Coturnix japonica: one gene and its partner. The protein of the gene in region 1 purifies or fractionates together with the protein of each later gene. This does not show direct contact. Links are inferred from orthologs where the notes say so. Each region holds a gene or a part of one and is shown on either strand. Other genes may lie near its edges.

Region 1 (3,812 bases):
GTAGCTCAGGACCTGGGTGAAGTTCTGGATAATGTAGTTCTGCACCTGCTGCTTCAGGCTGTGCAGGGAGTGGGCATCAGCCAGTCTCAGGATGCCAACGCAGTTGTCTGGCTGAAGGGCTTCTGTGAGAAAACTGGCACAAGCATCTACCATGCGCAAGAACTGTGGGCAGAAAAAAATAGACAGGAGCTGGGAGAGACAAGAAATCAATCATACGAGGACAGGTGGACAGGTATCTCCCAGAATGTTGTAGTCTGGAAGGCAAGGACCAAAGTGCTGCCCTGCCCCACATGCAAAGGTGTGCCATCCTGTTCTGGAGATGTGGAAGGAAGAGGAGGACAGCCTGTATAATTTTGATCTGCTAAGCAGTGAGGGCTGTCTTGCTACTGTGTGCTTTAGAGATCTTCAGAGATCTTAGTAACCTTTGTTTTCCTTCATAAAACATAAATGTGCCTTTTGCACACAATCTTCATCAAAGCATTTCCTATGTTTGTGTTTAATACAGCATCACAGCTACTGCCATTAATCTCCTTTGCCCGACAGCCCCGTCAATCTCCCTCAACCTGTTCCTGGACCACAGATATCTACAGTGTGAGCTGGGTTGCTGGTGATTACTCAGAGCAGAAACCATTCCACCAAGGCTGGAAAAGACCTCCGAGATCACCCAGTCCAGCCATCCGCCCATCACTAATATTTCCCCACTTGACCATGCCCCATTTCTTGAACTCAAATGACAGGTTACAGTGCTTTGTGCTGGGCTTTCCTTCTCCTCTGTGATTTCAGATGTAGCAGGACATCAGTGCTTCGTATCAGTTGTCACTGAGTGATGCAATAGTGACATACAGAAAGACGGGCTAGAACAGACACTGTGCATTTCTGTCCATGCCTTTTGGGTCCATTTTCCATCTGACACAGCAAGCAGATCATTTTAACTTGTTCTGTCCCACAGGGGAAAATTGCATAACAGTAATTTAGGGGCAAAGAGGAAGTGAAACAAATAAAAGACACTTTTAAACACCACAGTATTTAGATTTGTCTCATTAATCAGGATAGAATCTTCTAGACCCCTTGATTTTGTGTTGACACATTCAGAACATATAGCAGAGCTGGCCGATCACAGATGTTGGGTGCAGACTACCTGGTTCCTGTTTTACATTTAGATGTGATCAGGAGTTTAGAGAAACACAAGGCCTGGTGCACCAGGCTACACGTGGCCTCAGGACATGCTGCTGCCTGTGACATCAGTCTGCCAGCAGCACGGTGCAGGGCCACACCACTGCCTCTGTGCAGCCAAATGCAGAACCGTGAGATGTGGGTGTGAGAAGCAGCGCTGCTGAGACAGAGCCTGGCTGCCCAGAGTGCAGCACACCAGGACTTCCCCAGCCTGCTGTGTGGCTCCCACCATTGCCTTCACCTACCGCCAAAACTCCCTCAAACTCCCCAGACCTTGCTGGTCAGGCCCCAGTCAGCCCCACAAGGGCAGGTGACGCAGGAGGAGGACACCACAGGCCTCTGCTTCCCCTGCTCCCACTGTCCCTTTTGTGAGGATCCCTCACACCGCCCTGGGCATTTTGAAAGCCCTGCTCTCTGTGAACATCTTCCCCAGTGGCTGGGTCCTTCTCATGCCCCTTCAAATCCATGTTCTTACTTGCTAGAGGCATCCCATATGCTTGCTTGGCCCCCACTCAGCCCTCTCTCTGAATAATAAAGCCTTTTCCCCTCAGTGTGAGTCCTTGTTTGTCCCAGCTTTGACCCAGGCCACGCTCTGCAAATGATTTATTTTCTGGTCCTCAGTCAAATTGGAGAGGTTGAAGAGAGGCACTGCCAAAAACTGTTGCTGGTTGGAGGAAAAAAATAAAAGGAAAGTACTGCTTGGAAATTGGTTTTCTCACATGGTGAAGTGGGAAGGAAAGAAGCGCCCCAAGAACAACGTTACGACAAATGGAAGCATTCATCTTTTTAGCTGTAAATATTTTGATATGAAACATTAGTCTCTTCCAAATGTTTCTGTTGGTTCCTCAGTGTGCGTAGCAGAGGCAACCTGGCAGAATGCTCATAGTTACTAAATCTTTTTTTACACAGAACATATCTTCAGCCAAAAACCTCACCCGTGTATAATGGGAGTCTTTCAGGCCTTATAAATCTTGAGGGCGTCCAAGACAGCTGCAGCAAGGTCTGGGATCTCTGCTCCTCAGAGAACATCCCTTGTTTTCTAGGTTTCTGCAGCTCACTATTCTTGCTAACAGCACCCTCCTGAATTTATCAGTACTCAAATATCAGGAACGTGCCCTGAAAAATTAACCCAGAGCAACCTTTGAGTGCTATCCATAGCAGTACTGGTCTGCTGAAAACATTAGCAAGCTGCATACAGCCCCAAGCACCTTCCCTGAGCTACCCCATTGTAAGGGGTAACTTCCCTGCTGTCCCCACAGCAAGCACTGCCCTCACCACAAAGCACCAGGCTGGTGTCACAGCAACACATGATGTGTTCAGTAAGATCCAGGAATCTTTAGTTCATCATGAACTGTGGTGCTTAGGGAGTCAGGTGCTCCTCACCTCCTTTAGCTAACCCGGACACACACACACACACACACACCGGCACTTGGCAGGTTATGCTGGTTGCAATTTGTTAGGGATTTGCAGCCTGGTACCAGGACCTGCAATTTGCTAGACCTCACAGGTGATTTACAGGACATCAATTATAATTGATGGACCAAAGGCTGAGTAACACTGCTCAGTCTGACTGCCTTGGTCGTGACTAAAACCAGGACACCTGCAAAGGCAGGTGCAGACTGTGCAGTGAGCATCAATCTCCAGGCAAGGAGGAGGTGGAGATGAAGTTACTGTCCCGCTGGGCAGGCACTGGTAGGGCAGAGATGGAGGGGAGCATCTGTCACACACTGCCCAGGGCCCGCAGCCTGGCAAGAGCTCTGGGAGGCAGAGCCCTGCTGTTTGCCTGCCAGTACAGCACCCAGTGCAGAAGCATTCCAGCCCATGGCTGCCATGGCCAGTTTCTACCACAGTGTAAATAGAAACAAAGCTAAGTGCCCCCAGAACCCATGGAACCAAAGAAGTATGCAGTACTATAACCAGGATAGAGCACACTGTAGCCAGAGCTACAAGACTATCTGCGCATTTGAGCTATCTGTACCTGAAAGAGGCTGGCGGCTTCCAAAACTTTCTGCACATTTTGCTTTGTGATGAGCATCTTGCTGGTGTAGGTATAGTCCAAGAGTATATTCATGGTTTCTGCATCAACTCCTTTAAGTATAATCTTCTCTTCATACTTCTCTCTTAGATCATTGCAGAACATGGCCCTGAAAAGAAAGATGTTTATCTTTTATTGCATCCCAGCCAGGATGAGACATTCTGAAAACATTTGGTTATATATATTTCAAAACAAAATACTTGGATTGCCTCATATTTTATGCAATTAGCCCTGTAGCAAAGTAATAAGGAGTATGCTTTTATTGTTTTCGTGCCTTTTTACTCAACTGATAAGGAAGACACTTAGAAATGATATCTCAGAGCTGGGCTTGCAGAAGACCTGGAGCTCCATAGCAACAAAAGGCAGCCCTGAGAAGTCAGTGCTTCTTAGCTACTTAGACTGAGCCCTGAGGCTCCAACACAGCTTTGATTCCACTGGTACCAAGGATGGACCAGGAGAGAATGCATTTTCCTCTGCTAGGTCCTGGTAGAACTATAGAGTTAGTGCCTGTGGGACAGAGGAGTGTCTGGGTAACCAGGAACTGGAGCTGGTGTTAACCTAAACATGCAGTGTTTTCACGCGTATTGGTACATCTCTCCGTTTG
Region 2 (3,536 bases), on another chromosome or scaffold:
GTGTATGTCCTGCTCGGGCCTGGCCTCCCCCCAGTGCTCCCCTCAGCCCCTTGCAGGCGGGTTTTCATTTCAGAGCTGCTCTGTGTCTCTCCAGCCAGAGGGGACAGGCAGATACTGGCTGGGTCACAGGCCAGAGCAGGGCGGTTCAAAGCAATTTTCAAGCTGGATGGACTTGGGGCAGATTATTGATGGGTTCCTGCAAAACAGGAGCGTTCCCTGCATTCCCCACGCAGCTTCGTCTCCTGAAATAATTATCAGTTTTTTGGCTTCTGCCTGCCAGAACGAGATTAACAATCTCCGTCTGGTCCCTGGGCTCTGAGCGTGCCCGGCTCCATCGCCGCTCGGAATGGCACTCCTGACACTTTTTGGATTCAGGCTGTTGCTATGGCACCTTCTCACTCGGGTAGGCTGGAGGTTTCCTTGTATGGAGCTCCGCAGAGTGGCCGTGGAGCAGAAAGGGGAGAAGGGGTGGGTGGGAGCAGCTCGCGTTCCCCACCTCCCCGATCCACTTAGAGGCGCAGCAGGGGCCCGTGGAGCCCTGAAATAGAGATCACAGCAGCAGCCTCTGCTGCCTGGCTCACAGGACATGAGCGAGGTTGGCTCCCAGCTTTGTGTGTGCTCGCTGTGCTGGTGGGGGCAGGTGGGGGTGTTCCAGGGAGCCGCTGCGGTGTGCAGCCCGGTGCAGGGCTGTGCTGTGCGGCACAACGCGGTGCCACGGCCGTGTGTGCTGTGCTGCCCTGGGGCTGGCAGCATCACAGCCCTTTGCTCAGCCCTCAGAGGGAAACCCCCATAAAGGGGACTGGGGATCACCTCGGTGAGCTCAGAGACCTGCTGGCAGTGACCACATGTGTATGATGGGGATGGGGAGCTGAGGTGAGCACAGCCTGGTCCATGTGTCCCGTCTGTGCACCCTGGAGGAGCTGCAGCATCAGTGGTCACATCCACGCCCCAGGTGAGGGCCTGCAGGCACAGTGCTGGGTGTCAGTGCTGGGTGTCAGTGCTGGGTGTCAGTGCTGGGTGTCAGTGCCGTGATGGCCGCTTGACACCCACATGGGTTCAGGGCTCAGCCTGGTGCTGCTGGTCCTGCAGCCGCGGTGCTGCCGCTGCCTGGAGCAGCTCTGCCCGCATCTCGCCTGCGTGGAGCTAGTGAGTCACTGGAGATCTCCTAGGTAATGGATAATGTAATAACATTTCAAATTAGCTCTGCAGAGCGGGAGGAAGATCTGGGGGAACTCTGGGAGAGAATGCAGGCAAATCTCACTGCAGTCTCCTCCTCTCGGGTGAGGGCCAGCAGCACCAGGGGCCCTGAGCTGTCCCCCCCCCAGCCCTGCTCCTTGCAGCCTGGCCATGCAGGGCGGCAGCAGATGGGCTCTCTGGGGACTGAGGCAGCTCTGTGCAGCTCAGCCAAGTGGCAGCCTGCCACCGTGTCCCCGGGAGGGCCACGTCACCTCACGGCGGGTCGCAGCAGGGTTACCTGTATCACTGCTGCAGGGGGGACACACAGACATCCCTGTGCATGCACGGAACCTGGTGCTGGCTGTGCCTTGGCTTGGGGGCCAAACAAAGCTGGGGAGCGCAGCAAGTGGGCACCCAGTCTGTGAGCTGGTTGTCCAGGAAGGGAAACTGAGGCACAGAGAAGTGTCTGTGAGAGTCTCTGCAGGGCGGTGCTGCCTGCTGCTCCCCAGAGAGGTTTCCTTTCACCTCAGAGCTGTTTGCTCCGAGATGGCAGTGGGATTCCCACCCTCCATCTGTACAAGCTGATGGTTCTTCTCTCTCTCTCATCCTCAGCGAGTGCTCTTGACCCCATGCCCCAAGCAGCGCAGCAGGGAATGGAGCAGGAACCTTGCGATGCTTTTCTCTCTGCCTTTCCAGGTGTCTGTGGATATCAGCAGCAGCACAATCCGCGTGGCAGTGCTGGAGGGGAGCAGCCAACGTGTGCTCATGGAGGGGAAGCTCACACACAAGATCAACACGGAGAGTTCCCTCTGGAGCCTGGAGCCAGGGAAGTGCGTTTTGGTAAGGGCTGCCCTCTCCTTGCCTTGCCTTGCAGCTCCCTGTGCTTGGCCTGGAAAATGGGAGCAGCTGGAGGCTTGAGCCAGAGCTGGCTGCGTCCCACGCTGCCTTTCCCTGGCTGTCCCTGTGCAATGTGCAGCTCATGTGTGCCAGGCAAGGGGAAACCCCACTGCTTGTTTCTGTGCTGCCCCGGGGTTCTGACACGCTGCCGGTCCTGTTGGAAGCAGTCAGTGCAGCTGCTTCTCGTTGCCTTTTACGTCTTCCTGGTCGAGGTGGTTTGGGGGCAGCAGCTCGTTATGGGATCTGCTGCCCCACAGTGAATTGCTGCTGGCTGCAGGTGTCTCTGGTGTGCTCTAGCGATGTGGGCAGAGGGGTGATGCTGCTGGACTGTTCCCACAACAGAAGGCAGTTGATGGGCACCCGAAGGTGCTGTGACTTTAGAGTAGGAATCCTACCGGGTTCATCCCATTGAGTGCAGAAGTGCCAAGGGAAATGCATAGAAATCATGCTCAGGCAGATTCTGTGATCTGGGTTGAAAGGGACCCCATGGATCATGGAGCTCCAACCCCCGGCCGCAGGCAGGGCCACCAACAGCTGGTACCAGACCAGGCTGCCCAGACCCCATCCAGCCTGGCCTTGAAGATGTATCCTGGGGCAAGAGACCAGCTGCCAGGAGGGCCCTATGGGAGAGAAGAGCATCTCCAGATCAGTTGGCCGTCTGAAGGATGTTTGAAAGGAGACAATGGGATCATTCATCAACACTTTTCAAACATGGAACTTTTGAAAACCGTCTGATTTGGGCTTGTGCACAATCCTGGGAAGGAGCAATATTGTTCAGGAGGAGCTGATCCACACGTGGCTGTGTGTGGGCAGCTGGCATTGCCTGCCCGTGTCCTGAGCTCAGCAGGGTGTTACACAGGATGGGAGCAGTGTGGGCAGAGCGAGACTCGGGGCTTTCTGCTGTGACCGTGGGGAGCGGACCCCTCATCTCCAACCCGAGCTGGAGGCAGGAGCCTCAAATTAGCACGAGCTCAGGGCTGTGAGGATCTCCAGCTGGCTGCCAACATATTGATGGTGGGATGAAATGTCTCTGGAAGAATTGTAAGGTAACTGGAGCAGAGTGAGTAATTCAACCCCAGAGTGTCTCCTTTCTCCGTGCGCAGAGTAGCCGAAAGCGCCGGGCGATTCCTTCCATTCATTCATCAGGAGACACGCAGCCATTTGGTGCTTCAGCTGCTGGGAGGGAACTGTGAGCACTGGGCTTGTCCTGAGCATCTTCGTGCAGGACGTGTGAGCTGCCGGGGGCAGCAGCCTCCAGTGAGATGGGGGCACAATGAAGCCATGCTCAGTGTGCCAGCGCTGTGCTCGCTGTCTGGACGGTGCCTGTCCATTCCCCTCACTCCCAGATCTGGCCGAGCCCTCGGCACATTTCATGTCCTTGGGTGCTTTCATGGCTCTTTGGCACCCAGATGAGGCAGAACCCCGTGGGCTGTGGCTGTGGAGCTGCCTGCTCTGCCCGGCGC

Evidence for each region.
Region 2: the proteins of KLHL6 (region 1) and NUDCD3 purify together in Homo sapiens (affinity purification with mass spectrometry; 3 studies listed by BioGRID and IntAct, counting the BioPlex papers as one, with this or other methods). This does not show direct contact. The link is inferred for Coturnix japonica from reciprocal best matches to the Homo sapiens genes KLHL6 and NUDCD3.

What each region holds. Positions count from the first base shown.
Region 1 is NC_029524.1:735,122-738,933, reverse strand, and holds part of KLHL6 (kelch-like protein 6), read right to left. Parts: intron 3,318-3,812; coding exon 3,152-3,317; intron 163-3,151; coding exon 1-162. UniProt on the Homo sapiens protein: Involved in B-lymphocyte antigen receptor signaling and germinal center formation.
Region 2 is NC_029537.1:94,361-97,896, reverse strand, and holds part of NUDCD3 (nudC domain-containing protein 3), read left to right. Parts: intron 1-1,872; coding exon 1,873-2,016; intron 2,017-3,536.